Linked DNA regions of Caenorhabditis elegans. The protein of the gene in region 3 interacts with the protein of the main gene of each other region in a pairwise test. Each region holds a gene or a part of one and is shown on either strand. Other genes may lie near its edges.

Region 1 (4,934 bases), about 12 Mb from region 3:
TTTCGAATAAAAAACACTGTTTCTAGAAGAAAAATTCTGAAATTGATGGATTTTATTACCGGAACACATAATCCTGAGAATGCGTATTGCACAACATATTTGACGCGCAAAATATCTCGTAGCGAAAACTACAGTAATTCTTTATATGACTACTGTAGCGTTGGTGTCGATTTACGGGCTCGATTTTCAAAATGAATTTATTTTTCGAATAGTGACAGCGATTTTCCTTTTTTTTTTCGTATTATTCTCTCATGTTTTGCTTAAAAAAACGAGCTCGTAAATCGACACAACAGCGCTACAGTAGTCATTTAAAGAATTACTGTAGTTTTCGCGACGAGATATTTTGCGCGTCAAATATGTTGTGCAATACGCATTCTAAGAATTATGTGTTCCCGTAATAAAATCCATCAATTTCAGAGTTTTTCTTACAGAAAAAAGTGTTTTTTTAATCGAAAAAGTAGCAAAATAGTGAATTTAAGAAATTTTAGGGGAACTTTTTATTCGTTTTTTAATTTTTTTTTAATAAAAAAAATTCAATGTGGAAGTTTCGGAGGCTGCTTTTTACTTGAAATGTAGATTTTTCAACGGAAAAACTGAAATTTTTCGTTTTTCATTTTTTATTTTCAATTTATTTTTAACTGAAAAATTGCAACTTTCACTTGAAATTCATCATTTCCTTGTTTTTTTTTCAATTCTCAAGAAATCCTAAAAATTTCTGAAAAATAATTTATTTTAAAGTTTCATTTTGTTCGATTTTGAAGATAAAATCTTCAAAATTTCATTTAAATAATTAAAAAATGCTCGGAGGTTTTTGGAGTTTTCTATTAAAAATTTCAATTTCTGGCTTGATATTGTCCTTTTTTGTCAGAAATGTTTGCTGCTTCGGAGCTAACATGAAAAACTAATTTTTTTACACAAAATCCTGCATTTTCAAGCTAAAAATGCTCATTTTTGAGCTCCATAAGCCTATACCATTCGTCGAGTGTAGCCGGTAGCGGAGCCTGTGCCGCAATAAATTCAGTTTTTCCACCAGGCAATTGAATTAGTGAAGCGTTCATATATCCTTCGGGGTTTTCACTGTCTTTTTGGATTTCCACACGATTTTTGTCATCTGAAATGGCGAAATTTGTGCTTAAAAATTGGAAAAAAACGGATTTTTTTTATTTCAAATTTTAGAGTTAATTAAAATGGGTATAGCGTCGTCAAAATTCGAAAATTTTTGAGAAATTTCATCAAATTTGGTCAATTTTTTTATTAAACAAAAAAAAAATCAGTGAAAACGTCAATAAAAACGTATTTAATTGCATTAAAAAATTTTTTCAGAAAAAAATTGCGGATTTTTTGCTAAAAATGGCCAGAAGGCTTCAAATTTCGTGAATTTTGAATATTTTTGCAATCTGAAATATTTTTTTTTGGTCAAATTTAAAGAAATTCTCGATTTTTCTGAAATGGGAGGCAGATAGCTCAGTCGGTAGTGGTGGCCGCTAGCAGTCTGGAGGTCACGAGTTCAAGTCCGGCCTCACCCCTAGGTTCACCCAGCCTCTATTGGGAAGTGGAGCAATCCACGACTGGATTATCGGCCACAGTCCCCGGCTAAGACGTGGCTTAAATTACAGCCCAGAGGGATCACCACCAGGCAATGTACCTGAATCCCAGATCCGCAGTGCAAAGCACTTGAAGAACGGATCGTCCTTTAATCCTTTTTTTTAAAAAAACACACAGTTTTATGCGATTTTTCCCAAAAAAAAAGTGTCAAAATTCTCGCTTTTCCTGCTTGAAAATGACGCTATACCACACTTTTTGGCGAAAAATTCGATGAAAATCAAAAATTTACACGGCAAAATGTCGCGATATCGATTTCGAGCATAATGTTGCGGTGCGACGGCACACTCTGACCGATATTCGGCTTCCATTCGCAGTTTTTCCTGTTCCACTCGGATTTGCTGAAAAAAAATCGATTTTTGTGGGTTTTTATCAGGTGGAAAATGGGGGAAAACTGGCTGAAATCGACCCTAAAATCACCAAAAATCAAGTGAAAATTGCTTAAAATCTATTTAAGTCGTTGAAAATGGTGCAAAATTTGGCGAAAAAGTGCAAAAAATCGACAGAATTCGTCGAAACTGTCAAAATTCCATTAAAATGAGGTTAAATATTCGAGAAATTCGCTAAAAATGCTTGAAAACCTATAAAAATTAACAAAACTGTCTATTCTCGGCAAAAAAAGTAGAAAATTGCCATAATTTAACGGAAAAAAATGAGGAAAATCGTTAAAATTAGACAAAAATTGCCGGAAATTCTCGAAATTGGCTATATTTCTAGGGAAAAAGTCATGAATAAATCGAAATCTGCGAAAAATTTCCAGAATTTTGGCAGTATTCGCTATAAATAGTTTTTTTGTTGAGAAACTCGTCAAAAATCGGAGAAAAATTGTGTGGAAACCAGTGAAAATGACCAAATTTTGGCGAAAAGTGTCAAAAATCTGTGATTTTCGTTTTGAAAAAAGTTTCGACCGAAAATTGACAGAATTTGGCTCGAAAATCGCTAAAATTCGACCAAACTTTGGCTAATTATCGTCGAAAATCGTAGAATTTCGCTGGATATTCCCTAAATTCGACCAAAATCCGTACATAAAATCTGCGCAAATAGTCCTGCGGCGTGTAGGCCTCCTCTTCCTTCAGAAATTCGCGCAAAAGCCCATCCATCGCCGGATTTTTCTCGAAAATCACAGGATTTCCGTTGGGAACTGTCGTCGCCGCCCGCTCCTCCTCACTTTCGAACTGAATTAGATCGCCGGTGGGTACTACTGAAAATTCGTGTTTTTTAGCCTAAATTTTCGCTATTTTCGAACCATTTGGAGTATCTTTGACTACTGGATTCGATGTAGGCAGTGGCGGCGGTGGGCTTTTTGGCTTTTGTTCCTGAATTTCCTGAAAAAAAACCAAATTTTATGGGTGAAATCGGGTGAAAAACGAACTGGAGGGCCGCCATCGTTCCAGACGGATGCCGATGTGTCATCTGACATTCGTTGTGTGTTTCGTTACCTGAAAAACGCGAAAAATTGGCTTGCAATTCAAGTTTTTCAGTGAAAAATTTGAAAAAATCGGTAAAAATCCGGGATTTCCAGTAAATTCTCTGAAAATCGCAGCTTTATTTTGGAAATTTAGACAAAATTTAGATTTTTTCGGCTGAGAAATGAAGAAATAATTTAAATTCAAGGAAAATATTAATTTTAGGCGGGAAAAAGGGAAAAATAGGCCAAATTTGAACTCAATGGTTTTTTCAAGGCAACACACGAATAACGAATAATACAAGCAATTTTTGCGTTAAAATTATATTTTTAGGCATAAAATATTCGATATATCCCTATAAATTAGGTTATTATGATGAATTTGCGAAATTCTAGTGAAAATTCGTTTTTAGTCTGGATTATACGGCAAAACACGGATTTTGGGCCTAAATTTGGGCGAAATTCAGCCTAAAAATCGAAATTTCTGCGTGAAAATTTGCGAAATTCGCTCAGAACTGAATAAAAAAGTAGCGGCCCGCGGGTGAGTCATTGTGTGAATTGCGATGGGGGGGGGGGGGAGAAAAATGCAAACGCGCTCCGTTGCAGCGGCGCGAATTTGAAAACTAGGCGCCGGGGATGTGAAGGTCAATTTTTGGGGTTTGTTTTGCGGTTAAGTTTTGAAGTTTGGCAAAATTGTTTTCAAAATTAAAAAAAAATCGAAGGCAACGACGCTCCGATATTCCGCCAGAACAGTGTATGCGCCTTTAAAGTGAGGTTACTGTAGTTTTTGATTTTTGCCGTGTTTTTTTAGAGTTTTAATAAGAAATCGAGAATTTTCACCAATTAATTTGCGGGAAACTTGTTTATTTTTCAAAAAATCTCTCAAAGAATTCGTTTTTCGTTCATTAAAATGAAATTTTTATGCAAAATTCTAATAATTCTGTAATAATCGTTTCGGGACCCAAGTGTAAATTTAATTCCATGCGCCTTTAATTTTTTAAAATCGAAGATTTTTTTGTTGTCTTTTTCGGAGATTTTTAGCTTCAAATTATTGGTTTTTAGAGGAATTTCGGAAGGTTTTTTCGTGAAAAACAAAGTTTTTTCAAATTTTTTACTAGAAACTGTTGAAAATTTCAACAATTTTTTTGCAGAAAAGGAGGCAGGAATCCCCTGAAATTAAAGTCTAAAAGAAAGCCGGAAGTACAACAAAATCAGAAGACTAGGCTCTCTAATGCTCTCGCCACTCTCATAAAACTAAACTCGAGGCGGCGAGCGATTCCTGGAATTCGTTCGTGCTTTTTTTGTTGCTGCAGTCACGTTTTTCGTGAATAAACCAAACTCGCGTACTTCTAGTGGAAAAATTAGTAAAAAAACTGAATTTTTCCAGAAAATATACTTAAAAACTGAACAAAAAATTCAAAATCAAGAATTTTAGCAAAAAAAAACCGAAAAACCTTCTCGGGGAGTACACGAGCCGCGAGGTTTGGTTTCTGGGGTGTTTATGCCTAAAAAGTGACTCAATCGATGAAAAAAAACTTTTTTTTTTTTTGAAAAAGTTTGAAAAAAAAACTGAATAAATAAACATTTCTGGGTGAAAAGAAGAAAAAGAAGAGAGATAGAGGTGAAAAAAATGACGTCCGCCGCCGCCGCCGCAAACACCGTCACATTAATTTGCACATAGACATTTACTGTCACTCTCGCGCCGCGTCCCCGATTCCTCGTGTCACCGCGGCGCAGCGCCCCCTACACACAGTTTTTTGTCTCTGAGTCTCTCGTGTTTTTGTGCACTCTCGCTCTCTCCGCTGTGAGCTCTAATCTGATTGCGGCGACGGTGGGAAAATGGGTGGCCAGGGAGAGATGTGTGGAAGATTGATCGGAAAATTCCGATTTTCTAGTAGTTAGAGGAATTTCTTGAGAATATACTTTA
Region 2 (3,457 bases), on a different chromosome or scaffold from region 3:
AACTGGGCATGTAAGTGAAAAATTAGTAAATTATTTTGTGATATAAATATTCACAAAAATTTTTTAAAAATTCTCTAAAAAACGGAAAATTTTGAAGGAAAATTGTTATATTCTTTTAAAAAATCAATTAACAAAATAATAGAGAAAACCATTTTCTTTCTGGAAAACCTCTAGAAAGTACAATTATTTTGTCAGTTGACAATTTTCGGCTAAAACTGAAGGCATAGGCTGCCAAAGTTGAGCAAAGACATACTAAATGTTTCACCTTTAAGTGTAACTTATTCTTGTCTTGTACCTAGCTAAAGCACACAAAAATTTTAGTGAAAATTTTACTCAAAAGTTTGGCACATTTAAGGCAGGCCCAGCAATTTTCAGCCGATACATTTTTTTCAAATTTTCAGCCAGGACACACGGGCCGTCCCGGACGAGATGGAAACTACTGCGAGTGTCCGCCAATGTCGCGACGAAATCCATTTTACAATTTGTTGTCAGCTTAATCAAATAAACAATTTGACATCATCTGTTGTGTGGCTTCAATTTGATGTGATTGCGTGTAAACTAGACCCTAATTTACCGTATACATTTGGGAGGGAGGAGGGTGGATCCCCCTCCCCTCCCCACGCGAAAACACTTAGGAAATGAGATGTCAAGTGCGCTCTAATACCAGTTGGATACAATATGACGCAGAGTTTTTGGTAGGATTTAGTGAGAAAAGAAGTGAATTGAAATTGCACAAACATGCCTGCAAGGAGACCTACGCATGCCTGCTGTTTTACATCGAAAATTGATTGCAATGAAAAAAGAAGTAGGTAGAACACCAGAATTAACGCCAAAATTCAAAAACTAGGCGACAGGCAGGCAGACATGAGGCCTAGCTGGCAATAATACCTGATTTTTAATAAAGACTGGCAGCTACCTAGGTCCTGCTACGGGCAAAATATTTCAGCTATCGTACCCGCGAGAATTTTGCCAGATTTTATATTTTTGAAAAAAGCTAGATTTAAGAACCGCAATTATTTTTAAAATTCTGGCAACCAGGGGAATTTGAAATTAAGCATATTATTAAGTTCAGAAAGTGAGAAAATTATAAACTAAAATTTTTCAATTTTTTTTTTAAACTACAGAAGTTCGCTTTTGGAAAATTGAAAAAAAAAGACTTTGAACAAAATTAAAATTGCTTAAATTTTAAAAAAGCTTGCACATTTTTTTGCAAAAAAAACGCTGTCGAGAATCCTTCCTACAGTACCCCCTAGCTCCTCCCACTTTGTGGCTCACTTCTGGAGCTCCAACCCCGCCCTCGAGTCTTGCCGGATCTGTTTTGGATAATCCCGTTTTATTGTCAATTTTGTGTCGTTAACCAATTTTTCCGGTGCCGTTATAAAATTTGAAGATTTTAAATAAATTTTCGATGAATTCAGATAAATTTCAAACCGAATCAATGAAATTAAGAAAAAATTGCACACGAGCAATATATTCTGTTTTAATGTTATATTTAATCGAAGAGAATAACTTATGAATTTGAGCATAGAGCATAGAGGATTAACCTTAACTCTGACTCTACTCAAATACCTGTAAAGTGTCGGCTGCTTCAGCACAACTTGTGATATACCGAATAATTATTTCCTTTCCCTCTATTAATATAACTTCTTGTTTAACACTTCTGAATTTATCAATCTGTTCCAGGCGATGATGATGGAATACGGTGGCTATTTTTCAAGTAGCGCCGTGGCTCAACAATCAGGCGATGTTCCAACAACTGCACCATCTGCAGTTACAAATTCATTTTTCTATACACCACAGTCACATAATATTTATCACCAATATGCAACTCCGTATCTACAAAGTGGACGGTGAGATTTTTTTCCAGTTTTCTCCCTGTTATACTAAGCCACTTTTTTCAGTGCCTTGACAACTGCTCACAATACTTCAAGCTCTTCAGCGGGCAATTCCACATCTTCATCATCTTCCTCATCAAACTACCGTAATACAACACACGATTCACTACAAGCTTTTTTTAATACTGGTCTACAATATCAGTTGTATCAAAAATCACAATTAATTGGAAGTGATACGATTCAGAGGACAAGTAGCAATGTTTTGAACGGACTGCCAAGAAGTTCTCTTGTTGGTGAGTGAAAAAATCGGGGTATAGGCTCCAATTAGTCTTGACCGGCTGTTCTACTTTGACAGCCTATATCTAGATTGCATATAAATTGTGTGCAAAACGCGGAGATGGCGGCTGCTGGAAAACATAATTTCACAATTTTTGTGCTTAATTTCTTTTTTTCTTATTATCAAGTATGAAAATATGGAAACATATATTTTACTTTAAAAAACCTTTTGATGAAACAAAGATAACCGAGAAAAAGGTTGTCAAAGTGGAGTAAAGGGGGTCCAAGACTAATTCGAAAAAAAAACTTTTCCAGGTGCTCTCTGCTCAACCGGTGGAGCTCCTTTGAACCCTGCCGAGCGTCGAAAACAACGCCGAATCCGTACCACATTCACATCAGGACAACTGAAGGAGTTGGAAAGATCATTCTGTGAAACTCATTATCCAGATATTTATACACGAGAAGAAATTGCAATGAGAATTGATTTAACTGAAGCCCGAGTTCAAGTGTGGTTTCAGAATCGGCGGGCGAAGTATCGAAAACAGGAGAAGATCAGAAGAGTTAAGGACGAGGAAGAGGATCCGTTGAAGAAGGAACCCGGGCAAATTAGTTTAGAAGAGATTATTGATCAAATTTGAACAAAAAATGTAAAATAATTGCTTGTGATCTCTATTTATCTCTTCCTTTTTGTAATTATTCAAAAGTAGTGCTCACTTAAAATTGTATAAAAGTAAAAAACCGTGCTGAATGTGTCTCTATGTCAGTTTTTTGTCCAGAATCCCATTGCTTCTCACTTTTTCAATTTATTGTTTTTTTCAGGAATAAATATAAGTTCTCAAAATCTTGAAACTAGTAACACCCATTTTTACGGCACTTTTACGAAACTTCCTTTTTCTGATTGTTGTGTTGAATTTTTATTTGGAAATTTATATAGAAATATGAAATAATATTTGTGCGTTTTGAAAATAATGCTAACTTTAATTGAAAGTTTTGAAAAAATTCCCAAAAACTGTCTCAAAGCCGCAACCTATTTATGCCGACCGGCCCATTAAGTATGTTTTTGAGCAACTTCTTAAACTTTTCAACTGAAATTATCATTATTTTCAAAAAGTACGAATGTTTCTCTATAACTCTGTATATAATTCCAAAAAACCATCGGCAAAAAAGTTCCGCACACCTCTGGAGCACATCTATTAGGAAATAATTTAAATATACATATATTATTAATTTGAAATAATACTTGCGTAAATAACATTAAAATAAATAATCGAAAAATAAGTAAACGCCTCAAATCTTCTCGTTTTTCTTTTCCTTTTCCGTATCCGGACCTCGTTTTCCTCGATATC
Region 3 (3,709 bases):
TTAGTTTTTATTATCTTTGCATTAAGCTTGAACTGTAGTAACTGCTCAAAATAAAATTGAATTGGTACAAAAATGTTTTTGAATAAAATCAGCCCTTTTGAAATGAAAAAGTTCGCTGAAAAATGGTTTCTATTGAAATTTAAATTCTATGTTCAATGTTTCTTTATCTTCAAATTTCGTTATCAGTGCATCAATCTATTTTTCGGTGTGATTTCTCATGGATATTTTGATGTTAGCAAGAATACGCAGATAACAAGCGACATCTTCTGTTCCATTTCATTTTCCTTTACTTCTCACTTGTCAAATATTTTGTTTTATTCTGAAAGAAAGATGCAATTTTTTAAATATATTATTTTCGTTATCATTCTTAATCAATTAGTCGTCGATGTCCACAGCTTATCAATGCCAATGTTTTTAAAATGTTTATTTTACACTTGCTGCGGTGAAACGGATATATTCAATTATCATGGTGAGTAGCAATATTTTAAGAAATTCAGTCAAAATTCAGAACACCATGCAAATTGTTTCTAATGTAAAACACAGCTATATACAAATTTTGAGTTGTGCTCCGTGATAAGGAGCATTTTTCGCACTTTTTTTTTTGATACTTTTGAAAGAAAAACCGTTTATTTTTTAAATATTTTTCTAAACTTTACATTTCAGCGTTATACAAAGATTTCGATAATAAAATTTTCGGGCAGCACTTGATGGCAGAATCTGTAGTTCATTCAATCAAATCTCATTGGCACAATGAGCATTCTCAGAAGCCGCTAGTTCTCTCATTTCACGGCGGAACCGGCACTGGAAAGAATTATGTGACTGAAATTATTGTGAACAATACTTATCGGTAACTTTTCATTGCTTAAAATTTTTTTGAGAAACAAGTTTATGTTTTAGAAGTGGAATGCACAGCCCATTTGTGAATTATTTCGTTGCAACAAATAATTTTCCGAATAAAAAGTATATTGAGGATTATAAATTGGAACTGAAAGATCAACTTATAAGATCGGCCCGAAGATGTCAGCGATCTATTTTTATATTTGATGAGACGGATAAGCTACAAAGTGAATTGATTCAAGTGATCAAACCATTTCTTGATTATTATCCGGCGGTCTTTGGAGTGGACTTTCGGAAAACTATCTTCATTTTTCTAAGCAACAAAGGGAGCAAAGAAATTGCTAATATCGCATTAGAACATCATGAAAATGGTAAAATAAGATCACAACTCGAGTTGAAGCATTTTGAACGAACACTGATGCTTTCTGCATTCAATGAAGAAGGTGGTCTTCGTAACACTGATATGATCTCTAATCAACTTATTGATCATTTTATACCATTTCTTCCCTTATCTAAGTTCTACGTTTCCCAGTGCATTCAAGTACATCTTCGAAAACGCGGAAGACATGATTTGGCAAAGGATGGAGAATTCATGCAAAGAGTTCTTGATTCTCTTGAATTTTTCCCTGAATCTAGCAAAATATTTTCCTCGTCAGGATGTAAACGTGTGAATGCAAAGACTGATCTCGAAATTTCCAAGATGGGATTCTCACTCAATTCGAAGAAAGAGTTTAATGATGAGTTGTGAAAGTATTTTCTCCTGTTTCAAGATGTTGATAAATTTGTGTTCAATATTTTTTATGGTTCGGTGTTCTCTAAGGCTTTAAGTGGTTTGAAGTTCCAAATACTTATTAATTTGTTAATTTATGCATGTTTTTCTTTTTTTTAAATATCATTATCATCCTCAGATGACTCCGCGGAAAAATAGTGGAACGATGGGAATGGAATTCAACAAGAAAACTCAGTGTGAGTTTTTAAAGTTTGTAGAACGCCAAAAAATTTTGTTTTCTTTAATTTTTTAGGCAAATTTAGAATAAATTAAAAAATTGTAAACTTATGCAAAATTAGATTCTAAAATAGGTAGCAATATGTACACAAAAAAGATAGCAAAAAACGTAACGCCTGCTGTAGGTAAGGCCTATCTAAAAATCTACCTACAATGTAATCCGTAGTTTTCTATTCAGAAATGTAACGATTTCCAGATTATTCGCAATGCCAATTCTGCACTTTGAAAATTTGGTCAAACACGGAAATTGTTCTTGCTGGTGGAAATGTAATTTGCAATTTGTGCATTGCCGAAAAAAGCCGTGAGTTTTTTCCCCTAAAAGTCCAGAAATGTAACTATTAACAATATACATGCTACTTCAGATGCCGTTCAATTCGACAGAAAATATATGATCAAAACATTATCAAAGACATTTTCAAGAAAGTGGGAAATCTCGAATAATTTAATAATGACACTGCTGATTCTTTTGCTCTCTGCACTTTTTTTTATATCTCAAGGAACTTTTTCAATGCTTCAAAATGAACCAAACCAGGTTTGATTTTTCCACATAACTTTGTTCCTTTCGACAAATAAATTTGCTTATTTACAGGATCGAAACCCCTACCAAAACTACATAGAATCAGTAAGATCCTTTGTCAATTCGGATTTCTCAGATATTTCAAAAGAAAATCGGAATCTTTTGAGATTAATTGGTGAACAAATGTTTTTACATCCAGATGAACATGCTCCGCTTGTCATAGTTATTGCTGGTTTGAAAGCTAATGAGTTTTCTGAAAAATTAAACAAGGCAATTCAAAATTCTAAATCAGAGACAAATTCAAATAATTTACCAATTGAAATTGGAAATCAACTTGAAAGAGGAGAGCTACATGCAATATTGAACAATGGTTAGTTTTTTTTTAACTGTTTCACCAAGTTCATTAATTTTGGGCATTTTTGACACTTACGTTATATAGTTGTAAATGTATTTTTCCGAAAATCTCTTGAAATTTATTTCACTTACCACTTTAGCTCTCGCATCACAAATGACACCTAGAACAGCAGTCCTGACAAATATTGATCTTCTTGCATGGGATGCAGTTTTAGTGCTCCATGCCTTTGCGGACCATGGAACTTTTCCCATCCCAAAAACTGTACTCCTCCTAGCAGTATCAACAGAAGAAACTACTTATTCTGGGAATAGTTGTGATGGGAAAATTTTGAAGTAAGTGATTTTTATTTTTAAAATAAAAAGCAATTAAATTCCAGGCTTGTAACGAACCGCTGGATCGAAAATGGAGGAAACTATGACAATATTCCACCAATTGTAGCCAGGATTTCATATTTTATGTGCTTATAATAAAAATTATTTGTTTAAAAATTTAGTTTTTGTTTACTTGGAAATTGTGAAAAAATATGGAATTTTTAAACTTGGTTACTGCAATTTTGTTCACCGGGAAAAATTACTGTTTCAAAAGATTTGTTTAATTGAAAATCCTCATGTTTATTTGGTTCCTTTATATTAAAATTTTGATTAGAAAAATATTATTCACGAGAAAACAAAACAAGTTTTTAAGTGTTTCTGTGAAAATTTAGGGCAGATCAAGTGTAGATCACACAAAATTTTAGGGAAAATCTATAGAAATGCACATTTAAATGTGAAATTAGAAGAAGATATAATATGATCTACGTGTGATCTACTCAAATTTTTCTCAGAAACGCTCAAAACCAAAGGCTGACCGCGCGACAAAACGATTTTGAAAAAAAGTCCTCTTCGAACTCAGAGAATTTAAAATTTAAACTATATTTTGTAAACAAAAACAATTCTTTTTCCTGTTTGTTTTTTTCATCATAACTTTTTATCAGTTTTTCCGTTTATCAATTTAG
Region 4 (7,028 bases), on a different chromosome or scaffold from region 3:
AACTTTTACTCAGAGTGCTTGGAGCTAATTCATGCGAATTTTTGGAAGTTTCTGTTTAAAAGCTGGTGATTATGAATGTATTGTTTAAATGGATACCATAACCCTAAAAATTATGTAATACACTTAAACAACCGCATAAAAATTCAAATGTCTGAAACGTATAAAAAATATAAGCAAACAATTCTTATTATAAAAAAGTTGAAAGATCAAAGCGATAAACAAGTATCTTTTTGAAACCAAACATCACAAATTTCTGAATAGCTTTTGATTTTTTTTTTCGTTTTTTGTTGTATCAAGTATGTATCAAGGTATCAAGAGCACGGATTTCTTATGAACTTTAAATTTACAAATGCACTTTCAGTATGGCAGGAGTCCACCAACGGCAGCTGTCAGTAGATTTTTCTTGAGGAACTTCAATCGAATCTCCTATGATATTTTATAGTTTTTTTTTGAGTTTGGAAAGGTTTATTTCTCATGTTTTATATGTTTGAAATGGTTTCATAGAAGACTCAAAATAAAACATTTTATTTTCTGCAAGTGTTTTGTATTGTGTTAGACGTGTTTATACAATTTTGTACTTTAATATAAGTTTACTTAGTTTTTGAGGATACATATTTTAAAACGCAGCTAATTTTTAGAGTTAGAATATTTTATAGACAAACTCAAAGATTTTTTTAAAATGTTTTCAAAATACTATGTTGCTTGGCCACCTGTAATTTTATTATTTGGAAAAAAATATCCCGAGATCGGGCCAGAAAAAACGACAATAAACTGATGCTTATACACCGTAAACACGTGGTGCCAGAGTGTCTCATTTCGGTTCGATCTACGTAGATCTACAAAAAATTCGGGAGTTGAGACGCAGACTTCTCAACTGATTTCGCATGGTTAAGAACGTGCTGACGTCACATTTTTTTGAGCAAAAAATTCCCGCATTTTTTGTAGAACAAACCGTAGTGGGACAGCCTGGCATCACGTGCGTAAAGCGTAAGTTTTATTCAAGTTTTCCCATATAAATAAGTTCTTTCCCAGAGGTAGAATTCGAACATTACTTTTTTTAATGATTTCCACTTCTCAAACTATATGCGTGTTACCATGTGAAATGTTAATTCAAGATTTGTTAAAGGTTTCAGAATAAATTTTCAAAATTACAGCAAAACCCTCAATTATCTCGAAGTGCATTGAAATCTCAACAAAAAGTTCAATTTACGGGGTTCGAAACGCAAATCTTCTTGATTTCTCATGTTAAGTTTTCATTTTTATAAAATAGTTTTTTTTTCAAACCACAATCCTTAAGTTGTGGTCTTATTATCAAATATCACGTGTTATACTTTTTCAATACACCCCTTTTTAAATACATAATCCACCTGGAACTTTTTTTTCTGTAAAATGTAACTCTTTGTGGCAGATGGCGCACCTGCTCGAACCATTTCCAGCTGCAGAACTTTTTGTGTCTTTGTATCGTTCCACCGTTCGTCCCCACTCCGTTCGTCCCCGTTAACCCATGTTCCCCACTCTCTCATCAGTTGTTGAGAGCGCTGCGTGTCGCGTTGCGTGTCCTCGACTCTCTCCGCTCACCACACTCTTTCGAGCCCTCTCATTCACATGTGATCTCTCCTCCGTGTTTCTCTTTGCCTCTCCAATGAATTTTTATCGTTTCATAAATAATTGTAGTGGAACTACTTGTTTTTTTCTTGTAAAATTTAATTTTTTTTTCAAATATTTCAAATATTGCAATTTTCCGTGAATTTTAATCTTTTTCTTGTTATATTCTCTTTTGAATATTAAATTTTTATGTTTTTTTTTTTGATTTACTCTATTCTGCTCGTTCTCTTGAAAATTGTCATAATTAGTTTGAAGATTTTAACAAATTTTCAAAAAATTTCAGGAAAACATGAACACAGCAGACGTGCCTGACAATCTTCAATCATGGGGCCAACAACCATCATCAAGTTACTCAAATACCCAGCAACACTCACAAATGACTAATCTTCCGCCTATCAATCACAATAATCTTTGCGACACCGAACCGATGAACGAGGACTTTCAACTTCAAGACGTGCAAGCTGACGAACTTCAGAAGCAGCAAAAACAGCAAGAGCAGCAACACATTCAACAGCAAAATGCACAACGTTTCATTGCACAAAGCCGTCAACCACATTCCAACATTCTGAGATTCCCACAGCCACCAATCACTTCAATTAAGACGAATTCACACGCTTTCTATCCACAGCAAGAGGTTTGTAGAACGTTTTTTTTTTTGTGTTTGAAAAAATCACATCATTCTAAAATGGAATATTTAAACGCTGCTCACCCCCACATTGCTGTAAATAATTTTCATTTTGAAAAATAACAGATAAATTTCAAATTTGCAAAAATAAACTAATTATAAAATATGATGATATTTGGAAAATATTTCATTTTAATTTCTAAATCTAAAATCTATTTTTGAAAAATAAAGCTTTATGAGCCGTTGCCATTGTTACGTTGATAAAACCGTGATTCAAAAGAATCTGATTTTGAAAAAAAATAACGATTGACTGATTTTTTGTGATTAATAGAAAATTGCCGTTTTCCTGGAAAAAAATGGAAAAAAAATTGGATTCTGAAGATTTTTCGTATCATTTTTGTATCAAAATATGAACTTTTGTATTTGCAAGCTTTCAATGTTATTTTACAGTTTTAATAGTATCATCAACGTTAAGATTTAAATTTGTTTGGCAACAAATCCCATGAGTAGTAGAATTGTTTATTTTAAAGTTTCAAAATCAACTACTTTTACATTTAAAATTAACCTGTTAACTGAAGCCTACTAATTGAACATTACCAAAATTTTTGATTTTTTTTCTCAATTTGAATGGTAGTAATTTATCAAGATTTTAGGTGTTCTGCTATTAATTTTTTTAGTATTTTAGTATTTAACTAATTGCTTATTAGTTCAAAAAACAAAAAAAAAACTAGTTTAATCTGTTCAAATTTCTTATCAGTTACCGACGTGCTTCACATAGTTGCAGCAATCAATTCTAGGTTTTCACATAATTTCCTTCATCGGGTGTTCTTATGCAACAGGGCAGTAATCACTGAAGGGCGAAAGTCGAGCTTTACACTATTCCGTTCTTTTCCCTCTTCTCTCCCATCATTTCCTCTCCCCCTATCTCTTTTCTTTTCTACACACTCAACAAGAAATCAGCATTTGCGTTTGCATTGCGGTGCGGACGTTTTGTCTCTCCTGTTGTTATACTACCGCTCTGCACATTCGTGGCCATGCCCAACCTCAACAACTTTTTCAGTCTCCGAAATGATCACTTTGTCCTTTGATAGTTTTTGCCCCCGCTCCAAATTCTGCAAGCGCTTTTTCAGACTGATCCTAGAGTACCTTCTAATGTTGCAATCTTACAAGTTTCAGGTCACCCAAGTCCGGCCAAAGAAGCATCGCGTATCCATGACTAATGCAGAAGCGGCACTAACTCCCGGAATGCCTCCGGAAAAACAAGCCGCAAAGAAGGTACAGCCTAGATGATTCAACTTCTTGACACATATGTCTCAAAAGTTTCAGAGAAATATTGGCCAGTTCTCGACAGATACTGTTCCGGCTGGAATTGGAATGATTGGTATCCCGTTTGAATGTAAGTTTGGCTAGCTTTTGTGAAAATATTATAAGAATAAAAAATAAAAATAAATTGTACACATTCCAGCTACCTCAAAGCCACTCCAAATTCAACAATTCCGAAATCCTCAAGACGCGCCAGTCAGAAAACTAACCAGTGATCTCATCAAAACTTACAAGGCTATCAATGAGGTAGGCGAAGATGGAAGAGAGTCTTAATACCGCTATAAAAGTTTCAGTCTTTCTACCTACGGAAACAGGTTCGACGTGATCGTCACAAGAGTCAAGATGCCGGAAAGCCAAAGGGATCCAAGGATGGTTCCGGGGCGAGCCTGACTGACACATTCTCCATTCACAATGCGATTCCAATTACGAGTTCTGATAATCATTATCAGCAAGATGCTCATCAAAATGCGTATGTTGTTTTCGTGTGATATTTGAAGAGTTCACTTTTTTTTTTGACTTTCAGTCCTCCTCTACTTGACACTAATGCTCCGCCCACCTCAACAATGGTTGTTCCTATGCGCACAGAGACTGATCTTCAACAGCAGCAGCGACAGAAAAGTAGTCGTGGCGGTCCGTACAATAACGGGTATGACGATCAGAATTACGACTATATTCTTAAAAATGGAGAGATATTTGACAAGAGGTATGCTGAAAGCACGAAACTTATTTGACTAACAGCCTATTTTTCAGATACGTGATTCTCAGTGACACGCCGGTTGGCAAAGGATCTTTCGGGCAAGTTACAAAAGCTTACGACACGCTGAATAAAGAAGAAGTCGCTATTAAAATTATCAAGAATAAGAAGACTTTCTTCGATCAAGCTCAGATTGAGATTCATCTTTTAGAATTGACAAATGCACATGACAAGGATAATAAGTATAATATTGGTAAGTTGCATGACATATTAACATATTCAATGTTGATAGAATCAACTTTTCAAATTTTCAGTTACGCTCAAAGGGCACTTTGTGCATCGGGCTCATCTTTGCTTGGTATTCGAGCTTCTCTCCTACAACCTCTATGATCTTTTGAAGAACACCAGTTTCCGTGGCGTTTCGTTGAATTTGGCACGCAAATTTGCCCAGCAATTAGGAAAAACTCTTCTCTTCCTGTCATCTCCAGAATTATCGATTATCCATTGTGATTTGAAGCCGGAAAATGTGCTACTAGTTAACGCGAAGCGGTCTCAAATTCGTGTGATAGATTTTGGATCTTCTTGTCAGACTGGACACCGAATCTACCAGTACATTCAGTCGAGATTCTATCGTTCGCCGGAAGTGCTGCTCGGCATCGCGTACGACACGAAAATTGATATGTGGTCCCTGGGATGCATTCTCGTCGAAATGCACACCGGAGAGCCGCTGTTTGCCGGGTCATCGGAGGTTGACCAAATGATGAAAATTGTGGAAGTTCTTGGTATGCCACCAAAAGAGATGTTAGACATTGGCCCGAAAACACACAAGTATTTTGACAAAACTGAGGATGGGATCTACTATTGTAAGAAGACTCGTGACGGATACCGCCATACCTACAAAGCTCCTGGAGCCAGGAAACTTCACGAAATTCTGGGTGTGACTTCTGGCGGGCCCGGAGGTCGCCGGCTTGGAGAGCCAGGACATTCTGTTGAAGATTACAGCAAATTCAAAGACTTAATAAAGAGAATGTTGCAATTTGACCCCAAACAAAGAATTTCGCCCTATTATGTGGTTCGGCATCCGTTCTTGAAGCAGAAGGAAGAGCGAGTTCCATCTCAACCGGTGTGTTTTTTTTAATTTAATTTTTAATTTTTATTAAAATTTAAATTTTTTAAATTTTCTTTCAATATTTAATTTTTTAGCCGGTGTCTCACTCGAACCTTCAGCAACAACAGCAATTGTACATACAGCAGCCGTCAAGCCAAATGAGTCAAGTGATGGAATCTCCGTCGGTTGGATCAGTCTATGTGGAAGATAACGGGATGTATCGCCAGGCGCCTGGATCTTCTGCCAACCCAATTTCCGTCACATCATCGTTTGACGAAGGAGATGCCATGGAAGTTGATGCTGGGAGAAGACGCTTCTCTGCTCATCAGCAAAATTACCACAATCCAAACTATCAGTACTCTCAACCACAACAGCAACAGCAGCAGCAGTATCAGCAGACACAGCGGTAAGTACAAGTACAAAGTTTGGTCTCGTGTGAACCTTATGAGATTTTGGACTTTTTGGACAGCTGCTCCTATGACACAAACTCAGAGAAAATAATTGCGTCATCAGGAGACTACCAAAAATTTTGTGGTGTTCGAAATAGACAAGAAATTTTAAAACTAAAGAGAGAAAAATTATATATGTAGAAATTTCTAGAACGCAACTGGAGCAGCAGCAGAAACAGGCTCAACTCCAACAGCAGCTCCAGCAACAGCAAATGCAGCAACAGCAGCAACAGCAACAACAACGCCAGCACATGCCACAAGCGCAGAGCAGTTCCCAACAGCACCTCCAATCACGGGCGCGGCCACGACAACAGGATCAGAACGAGTGGAGGAATCAGTTTGAGCTGGATGACACGTTTCAGCAGAAGCAGCGAAAAGTTGATGACTCTGTATCGAATCAGATTTCTAGAAATCAATTCAATCCACAACAGGTGAGATTTTTTTTTGCAATAAAAAAAATGCGCTGCTGCACCCCCCACCCATCATTCAGAAAATGCCAATTATTGAAAATAAATATTTTAGGTATCGATGACGCATGGAAATGTAAATGCTAACAACCGAGAGATGGAGAAACTCGATTACCCGAACAACAAACTCTGAAGCACACAGAGTCTAATAGCTAATTTTTTTGGAAATTCTGTCAATTTGATGTAATGCTTGTTATTTTTTTTTGTTTCTGTGAACAATATGGAGTTAATAAACACTGGTTCAACTTTAGCATTTTTTTATTACTACTGTTGTATTTTCAATTATAAGTTCTCAATTTATCAATTTAAGAGGGTTTTTTTTTTGGAAGTTTTAATTAAAAATATTGGAAACATTTAAAACAAGCATGAATGACGTGTCAACAGAAAAAAAAACCTGTTCAGATATTTCGTAACTTCTCTATTTGCCAATGAGCTATCCTCAACCCAAGCAGCAGCGGGGCATTCGTCACCGACTGCAAAAAAGTACTACATACTAGAAGTTTTTCGTTCAGAATTTTCTTGCAATTTCTGCCATTTCCCCCACCGCCCGTTTGCCACCAATGTCCATCCATCCATTTCGCAACGCGACCAGGAAGATATTATAAATCTTCGACGCCTTTAGCCAATCCCCCCCCCCCCCGTCATCTCCACAGGAAAACCTGTTTTTGTTCTTCTCAAGTTCCATTCGTTTCTCTGTATTCTCTTCATTTTTCGTCCAATTTCATATAACACACCCTTTCCATCCATGTTTCTTTTT

Evidence for each region.
Region 1: the proteins of gei-18 (region 3) and ptpn-22 interact in a two-hybrid assay, tested with the Caenorhabditis elegans proteins (one large-scale study listed by BioGRID).
Region 2: the proteins of gei-18 (region 3) and ceh-17 interact in a two-hybrid assay, tested with the Caenorhabditis elegans proteins (one large-scale study listed by BioGRID).
Region 4: the proteins of gei-18 (region 3) and mbk-1 interact in a two-hybrid assay, tested with the Caenorhabditis elegans proteins (one large-scale study listed by BioGRID).

The regions. Positions count from the first base shown.
Region 1 is NC_003282.8:1,734,844-1,739,777, forward strand, and holds the start of ptpn-22 (Protein-tyrosine-phosphatase), read right to left. Parts: upstream 3,042-4,934; 5' UTR 3,023-3,041; coding exon 2,975-3,022; intron 2,928-2,974; coding exon 2,849-2,927; intron 2,804-2,848; coding exon 2,628-2,803; intron 1,944-2,627; coding exon 1,835-1,943; intron 1,112-1,834; coding exon 973-1,111; intron 1-972.
Region 2 is NC_003279.8:4,568,254-4,571,710, reverse strand, and holds ceh-17 (Homeobox protein ceh-17), read left to right. Parts: upstream 1-1,683; 5' UTR 1,684-1,686; coding exon 1,687-1,850; intron 1,851-1,901; coding exon 1,902-2,128; intron 2,129-2,426; coding exon 2,427-2,749; 3' UTR 2,750-2,946; downstream 2,947-3,457. Other genes in the region: col-52 (Collagen triple helix repeat protein), read left to right, coding at 1-10, 402-497; idpp-10 (Intrinsically Disordered Protein, expressed in Pharynx), read right to left, coding at 3,399-3,457. UniProt on the Caenorhabditis elegans protein: Probable transcription factor involved in postembryonic differentiation of the ALA neuron, and regulation of genes that contribute to behavioral quiescence, a sleep-like behavior mediated by ALA.
Region 3 is NC_003282.8:13,980,560-13,984,268, reverse strand, and holds gei-18 (GEX Interacting protein), read left to right. Parts: upstream 1-1,743; 5' UTR 1,744-1,745; coding exon 1,746-1,803; intron 1,804-2,039; coding exon 2,040-2,144; intron 2,145-2,205; coding exon 2,206-2,375; intron 2,376-2,432; coding exon 2,433-2,730; intron 2,731-2,792; exon of another isoform or gene 2,793-2,813; intron 2,814-2,854; coding exon 2,855-3,047; intron 3,048-3,091; coding exon 3,092-3,182; 3' UTR 3,183-3,207; downstream 3,208-3,709. Other genes in the region: tor-2 (Torsin), read left to right, coding at 409-469, 664-847, 898-1,585.
Region 4 is NC_003284.9:14,819,401-14,826,428, reverse strand, and holds mbk-1 (Dual specificity tyrosine-phosphorylation-regulated kinase mbk-1), read left to right. Parts: upstream 1-1,888; 5' UTR 1,889-1,894; coding exon 1,895-2,239; intron 2,240-3,406; coding exon 3,407-3,505; intron 3,506-3,556; coding exon 3,557-3,626; intron 3,627-3,695; coding exon 3,696-3,799; intron 3,800-3,846; coding exon 3,847-4,022; intron 4,023-4,076; coding exon 4,077-4,256; intron 4,257-4,303; coding exon 4,304-4,500; intron 4,501-4,561; coding exon 4,562-5,370; intron 5,371-5,450; coding exon 5,451-5,761; intron 5,762-5,955; coding exon 5,956-6,235; intron 6,236-6,326; coding exon 6,327-6,404; 3' UTR 6,405-6,520; downstream 6,521-7,028. UniProt on the Caenorhabditis elegans protein: Possible role in the function of olfactory neurons.